2 linked regions of the Saccharomyces cerevisiae S288C genome follow. The protein of the gene in region 1 purifies or fractionates together with the protein of each later gene. This does not show direct contact. Each region holds a gene or a part of one and is shown on either strand. Other genes may lie near its edges.

What was found. The genes of interacting proteins can lie anywhere in the genome.
Region 2: the proteins of PGI1 (region 1) and TDH1 purify together in Saccharomyces cerevisiae (affinity purification with mass spectrometry; 2 studies listed by BioGRID, with this or other methods). This does not show direct contact.

The regions. Positions count from the first base shown.
Region 1 is NC_001134.8:611,613-615,723, reverse strand, and holds PGI1 (glucose-6-phosphate isomerase), read left to right. Parts: upstream 1-1,823; coding exon 1,824-3,488; downstream 3,489-4,111. Other genes in the region: YBR197C (uncharacterized protein), read left to right, coding at 1-521; YBR196C-B (uncharacterized protein), read left to right, coding at 1,094-1,198; YBR196C-A (uncharacterized protein), read left to right, coding at 1,551-1,700; MSI1 (Msi1p), read left to right, coding at 3,842-4,111. UniProt on the Saccharomyces cerevisiae protein: In the cytoplasm, catalyzes the conversion of glucose-6-phosphate to fructose-6-phosphate, the second step in glycolysis, and the reverse reaction during gluconeogenesis.
Region 2 is NC_001142.9:336,376-339,769, reverse strand, and holds TDH1 (glyceraldehyde-3-phosphate dehydrogenase (phosphorylating) TDH1), read right to left. Parts: upstream 1,500-3,394; coding exon 501-1,499; downstream 1-500. Other genes in the region: YJL052C-A (uncharacterized protein), read left to right, coding at 1,767-1,886; retromer subunit PEP8, read right to left, coding at 2,733-3,394. UniProt on the Saccharomyces cerevisiae protein: Glyceraldehyde-3-phosphate dehydrogenase (GAPDH) involved in glycolysis and gluconeogenesis. Catalyzes the reaction of glyceraldehyde-3-phosphate to 1,3 bis-phosphoglycerate.

The DNA of each region.
Region 1 (4,111 bases):
GAAAGGGATCTTCAGATTCCACTGCCTCTATAATGGGCAGTTCCAACGCACTTCCGACCAAAAACCTAACCACGCCTCCAGCACTAAACCCCTTAACGACCAGCATTAGTAGGGGTAATACTGCATACGAAAGAAGCGTAAATGGTAGCCGTATAACAATGCACTCAAACCTGGCACCTACGGAGACGCAAGACGTATCATGGTCTGAAATCGATACACTGGATGATGTGAAGAAGATGGCGAAAGAACCTATCGTCAACGACGGGTTCCCACGAGATTTTGAGAGCAATCTCACGCAAATGCGCAAGTCGCACGCTCAACTACTGCGATTAATGAGGGAAAGAAATCAGCGACTAAAGTATGCCAAGCTGAGGAGCCCTCCTCATAAGGATCAGCATAATTCTGCCACGAATAAAGATCAAGAACCAGACGAGGTATTGCATGACCCGGAAATCGCACTTGACGGTGAGAAGTACGTGAGCCAAGTTGTCGATACTATTAAAGATGTTCACCGATGCTGATGACATGTATGGGTTGAAAATATTTAGAGGATGCTAAAAGTCCCGTCTAAAATAGAGGAAGTCATGGATTACATTATCACCTTTATTGTCCTGTTCCGTCTGGCTAATTTGGGACGAGGAACGTTTGTCTCCATTCGCAACCTTTTGAAACCATATGAACGGCGGCTAATCTGACAGATGTCTTATATTTCTAGGATTGTAGAAAGCCTCCTCATCAAACCACCTTGTTTGAAAAAGGCACTAGTGCGGTTGCTTTACTTGATCTAGTATTCTCCTACCTTGGAGCGGTCCCATATCAACTAAATTCAGTTTTCTGACTGAGTTAAAAACTAATGTAGCGACACCACTTCCATTGGTGCCTCCGTTATTTTTTTTTTGTATGTTAATGCTAAATAATACACCGCTATGTATTTCAGGGCACTACTTCTACACATCAACGGTACTAAACATTTCGCTCAAGATCGGTCCGCTTTCACGTATTTGGATGCTATGCAATGTTGACTATTCTTAGTGGATAACATGCGGCATTTCCTGGCGGCTATTTGCATCGCTATGTAAGTGGCAATGTTCGGATGTGGGTAGTACTTTCAAAAGAAAAAATATTACTGAAGAAGGCATACTACGCCAAGACTATTTTATTCTCAGCACTTGTCCTACGTGGGGTTAGAGGCGAGTAAGACTTTGGCCCCGCTGCGGAAGCAAAGAGAATTTTGCCATCGGACATGCTACCTTACGCTTATATCTCTCATTGGAATATCGTTTTCTGATTAAAACACGGAAGTAAGAACTTAATTCGTTTTTCGTTGAACTATGTTGTGCCAGCGTAACATTAAAAAAGAGTGTACAAGGCCACGTTCTGTCACCGTCAGAAAAATATGTCAATGAGGCAAGAACCGGGATGGTAACAAAAATCACGATCTGGGTGGGTGTGGGTGTATTGGATTATAGGAAGCCACGCGCTCAACCTGGAATTACAGGAAGCTGGTAATTTTTTGGGTTTGCAATCATCACCATCTGCACGTTGTTATAATGTCCCGTGTCTATATATATCCATTGACGGTATTCTATTTTTTTGCTATTGAAATGAGCGTTTTTTGTTACTACAATTGGTTTTACAGACGGAATTTTCCCTATTTGTTTCGTCCCATTTTTCCTTTTCTCATTGTTCTCATATCTTAAAAAGGTCCTTTCTTCATAATCAATGCTTTCTTTTACTTAATATTTTACTTGCATTCAGTGAATTTTAATACATATTCCTCTAGTCTTGCAAAATCGATTTAGAATCAAGATACCAGCCTAAAAATGTCCAATAACTCATTCACTAACTTCAAACTGGCCACTGAATTGCCAGCCTGGTCTAAGTTGCAAAAAATTTATGAATCTCAAGGTAAGACTTTGTCTGTCAAGCAAGAATTCCAAAAAGATGCCAAGCGTTTTGAAAAATTGAACAAGACTTTCACCAACTATGATGGTTCCAAAATCTTGTTCGACTACTCAAAGAACTTGGTCAACGATGAAATCATTGCTGCATTGATTGAACTGGCCAAGGAGGCTAACGTCACCGGTTTGAGAGATGCTATGTTCAAAGGTGAACACATCAACTCCACTGAAGATCGTGCTGTCTACCACGTCGCATTGAGAAACAGAGCTAACAAGCCAATGTACGTTGATGGTGTCAACGTTGCTCCAGAAGTCGACTCTGTCTTGAAGCACATGAAGGAGTTCTCTGAACAAGTTCGTTCTGGTGAATGGAAGGGTTATACCGGTAAGAAGATCACCGATGTTGTTAACATCGGTATTGGTGGTTCCGATTTGGGTCCAGTCATGGTCACTGAGGCTTTGAAGCACTACGCTGGTGTCTTGGATGTCCACTTCGTTTCCAACATTGACGGTACTCACATTGCTGAAACCTTGAAGGTTGTTGACCCAGAAACTACTTTGTTTTTGATTGCTTCCAAGACTTTCACTACCGCTGAAACTATCACTAACGCTAACACTGCCAAGAACTGGTTCTTGTCGAAGACAGGTAATGATCCATCTCACATTGCTAAGCATTTCGCTGCTTTGTCCACTAACGAAACCGAAGTTGCCAAGTTCGGTATTGACACCAAAAACATGTTTGGTTTCGAAAGTTGGGTCGGTGGTCGTTACTCTGTCTGGTCGGCTATTGGTTTGTCTGTTGCCTTGTACATTGGCTATGACAACTTTGAGGCTTTCTTGAAGGGTGCTGAAGCCGTCGACAACCACTTCACCCAAACCCCATTGGAAGACAACATTCCATTGTTGGGTGGTTTGTTGTCTGTCTGGTACAACAACTTCTTTGGTGCTCAAACCCATTTGGTTGCTCCATTCGACCAATACTTGCACAGATTCCCAGCCTACTTGCAACAATTGTCAATGGAATCTAACGGTAAGTCTGTTACCAGAGGTAACGTGTTTACTGACTACTCTACTGGTTCTATCTTGTTTGGTGAACCAGCTACCAACGCTCAACACTCTTTCTTCCAATTGGTTCACCAAGGTACCAAGTTGATTCCATCTGATTTCATCTTAGCTGCTCAATCTCATAACCCAATTGAGAACAAATTACATCAAAAGATGTTGGCTTCAAACTTCTTTGCTCAAGCTGAAGCTTTAATGGTTGGTAAGGATGAAGAACAAGTTAAGGCTGAAGGTGCCACTGGTGGTTTGGTCCCACACAAGGTCTTCTCAGGTAACAGACCAACTACCTCTATCTTGGCTCAAAAGATTACTCCAGCTACTTTGGGTGCTTTGATTGCCTACTACGAACATGTTACTTTCACTGAAGGTGCCATTTGGAATATCAACTCTTTCGACCAATGGGGTGTTGAATTGGGTAAAGTCTTGGCTAAAGTCATCGGCAAGGAATTGGACAACTCCTCCACCATTTCTACCCACGATGCTTCTACCAACGGTTTAATCAATCAATTCAAGGAATGGATGTGAACAAATCGCTCTTAAATATATACCTAAAGAACATTAAAGCTATATTATAAGCAAAGATACGTAAATTTTGCTTATATTATTATACACATATCATATTTCTATATTTTTAAGATTTGGTTATATAATGTACGTAATGCAAAGGAAATAAATTTTATACATTATTGAACAGCGTCCAAGTAACTACATTATGTGCACTAATAGTTTAGCGTCGTGAAGACTTTATTGTGTCGCGAAAAGTAAAAATTTTAAAAATTAGAGCACCTTGAACTTGCGAAAAAGGTTCTCATCAACTGTTTAAAAGGAGGATATCAGGTCCTATTTCTGACAAACAATATACAAATTTAGTTTCAAAGATGAATCAGTGCGCGAAGGACATAACTCATGAAGCCTCCAGTATACCCATCGATTTGCAAGAAAGATACTCGCACTGGAAGAAAAACACTAAACTACTTTATGATTACCTAAACACGAATTCAACAAAGTGGCCGTCCTTAACGTGCCAGTTCTTTCCTGATTTAGATACCACTTCGGATGAGCATCGCATCTTGTTATCCTCATTTACATCTTCCCAAAAACCTGAAGATGAGACCATATATATTAGCAAAATATCCACGTTGGGTCAT
Region 2 (3,394 bases), on another chromosome or scaffold:
TTCTTAGTATATATATACTGCTCAAGGGCAAATGCAATTACTTTGGAAATGCTTTCTTGTTCTGATACGTAAGAAGACAAGTAATCTCTGGACTAAAAGTGGAGCCGGAATAGAGACTCTCTTAGTATCAGTATCCACCTCTTCAAAGGATAATGCGTTCTTTGCCAATAGTCACATATTGTGGGTATGTGCGTTTTGCAAAGGCAGCAATATATTGTTTACTTATTTCCCAAAAAGGAAAAATCTTTAAACCATCCTAGAACTTCAATTCACCACGTTCAGGGTAATATATTTTAACCGCCGACGTTCTCGCCATAACTTTTAAACAGTGATAACTAGTATTGAAACTTAGAAGAGAAAAGGGTAAAGTTAATGCTTAATCTTGTCTTGGCTTAAAAAGTAATATGTACTTATTTACGTCTTCACAAAATCTAGCAGAAAAACGGTAGTATTTATGTATATTCAAAAAAAAATCATTATCCTCATCAAGATTGCTTTATTTAAGCCTTGGCAACATATTCGATCAAGTCAACAACTCTGGCGGAGTAACCGTATTCGTTATCGTACCAGGAAATCAACTTGACGAACTTTGGAGACAATTGGATACCAGCGGAGGCATCGAAGATGGAAGCGTGAGTGTCACCCAAGAAATCAGAGGAGACAACGGCATCTTCGGTGTAACCCAAAACACCCTTCATTGGACCTTCAGCGGCAGCCTTAACAGCCTTCTTGATTTGGTCGTAAGTAGCTTCCTTTTCCAACTTGACAGTCAAGTCAACAACGGAAACATCGACGGTTGGGACTCTGAAAGCCATACCGGTCAACTTACCTTGCAATTCTGGCAAGACCTTACCGACAGCCTTAGCAGCACCGGTAGAGGATGGGATAATGTTACCGGAAGCGGTTCTACCACCTCTCCAGTCCTTGTGGGATGGACCATCAACAGTCTTTTGAGTGGCGGTCATGGAGTGAACAGTGGTCATCAAACCTTCTTCAATACCGAAAGCATCGTTGATAACCTTGGCCAATGGAGCCAAACAGTTGGTGGTACAAGAAGCGTTGGAGACAATCTTCTTGTCTGGAGTGTATTTAGTGTGGTTAACACCAACAACAAACATTGGAGCAGAAGAAGATGGAGCAGTGATGACAACCTTCTTGGCACCAGCGTCAATGTGCTTTTGAGCGGTGTCCAATTCCTTGAAAACACCAGTGGAGTCAACAGCGACATCGATCTTTAGAGAACCCCATGGCAAGTTAGCTGGGTCTCTTTCTTGGTAGGTAGCGATCTTGACACCATCAATGATGATGTGCTTGTCGTCATGGGAAACAGTACCCTTGTATCTACCATGAGTAGAATCGTACTTGACCATGTAAGCAGCATAATCGTTAGAGATAAATGGATCGTTGACAGCAACAACCTCAATGTCTTTTCTTTGCAAAGCCAATCTCAAGACCAATCTACCGATTCTACCGAAACCGTTAATAGCAATTCTGATCATTTTGTTTTGTGTGTAAATTTAGTGAAGTACTGTTTTTTGTGTGTGTTGGTGAAATATCAAACCAAGTTCTTGATGAATTTCTTATTTATGCAAGAGAGAGAATAGAACTGTACTACAAATCTCATTGTGTGAAAATATATTGTCTATTTATATGATTTCGAGACTCCAGTTTTGGTCATTATCACCAAGCTCTTACTGCTACAGAGAATGAACATGCTCCTCCCCCCCTTCTTCAGACTATGTTGTTCTGCACGTGGATACCGTCGCATGCACCTAAGAAGCAGATGGTGGCTTGCCTTACTGTATTGTAAAGATCCAGTCTCCAGATCTGCGACCACTCCGAAGGTTGAAACCCGAGCTTCCTGTTTGCTGTCTCGCGCCTTTTAAAAAAAAAGCGCGATTATGGGCCGCTCGTGACAGTAAAGGAAGCAAGCAGATCGACCCCCTGAAAATGTGGTGTGGTTACTAAGCAGAAGCGTCTTCGTCGCATATCCTATTCCTAGCGCAACAAGGCCCCACGGTGTGGTTTCATGTGACGTGGAGTCATGTAGGCTTGTGGTGCGCACATTTTTACTAAGCTCAACAACCCTACTGGCGCTGCTGGAAGTGAATGGCGAGTAGATACTATCAAGTGTTGGCTGGTGGGACATATCAGCAACTAATGGATAGAATAAATTGGATCAGAAGCTCAGCCCAACTTATCCTCCATATGGTGATATAGAGTGTAAATGAGCATATACATTCGTTTCTTTTTCTCCTCCCATTAGTCTGGCCCTTTAGCATACAAGTCAACTGTAGTTTTCAGAAGCGGGCTTTTCTTGGTTTTTGTTATGTTACCTGTGAGAAACTAATCCATCGAGAAATTTACTCATTTTTTTTTTTACTCCAAGCTGCTTTTACTTAGCTAAACATAAAAAAAGATATTTCTTATGCATTAACTTGAAGAAAAATTGTTCCCTTGGACAACGCTGTGCTTTTCCGAAGCACTGTAAAAGGGAAGAAAACCATATGCTATTCCTCCTTTCGTAGAGAAAAAAAGTTTTAGCACTTGAGCTTCTTACTATATCGTATTTTACCTCTTGCTTGTTTAGTTCGTTATAACTTACGCAAAAGTCTTCTACTGAAATCTAGATATTGTTATGTATAACACTATAATGCCAAACGAAAAGTTAAATATCGAGATGTTGAAAGAACAGAGAACCACATCTTCACCTTATTTAAGGTCGAGCTTTTCTACCGGGTCCTGTACAATGTTATTTCTGATTGTTTAAAATATCTTCTGCCATCTTCATCGATAATAACCAAGCTCAAATAATTCTTGACGTTAAAGTAGTTGCAGCTCATATTGGGCGTCAGGTCATAGCCGCTCAAGAATAATCTTATGGGTATGGTTTCACCTTTCACTGAAGACCCATCCATTATTTCGTATCGGATAGCAGTGGAATCTGTCATTACATTAGAAGTTTGTAGGCCGGAAGATTCTCTTGTGATCAAGCTTAATTCCATATGTTTTATCCTTAGTCTCGTTAAAAGGAAATATATACGCCCCACAATGACTTCTTTTAAGCTGTACTGGGATTTGGCATATTCAAACTCAATGTGAAGGCAATTTTCTATACCTATATCCAATCTAACAGGCTTGGGCTCATTATTTGAATGTGATATCGGCAAAACTTGATTAACGTCTGCCGCCTCACCCTGGGTGCTCTTTGTTTGCGTGTTGTCACTCGCATTATCTGCAGCATAGTTACCACCAGCGATGTCATTAGTGGTTGCCTTTGTCTCATTTGCGGAAAGGGTATTTGGCGCAGTAGTTACACTATTATAAAGATAGACCCAAAATCTTTTTATTTTCGAGATGTCTGTGGACTTCCTCATAACTGTTACCTTAACAT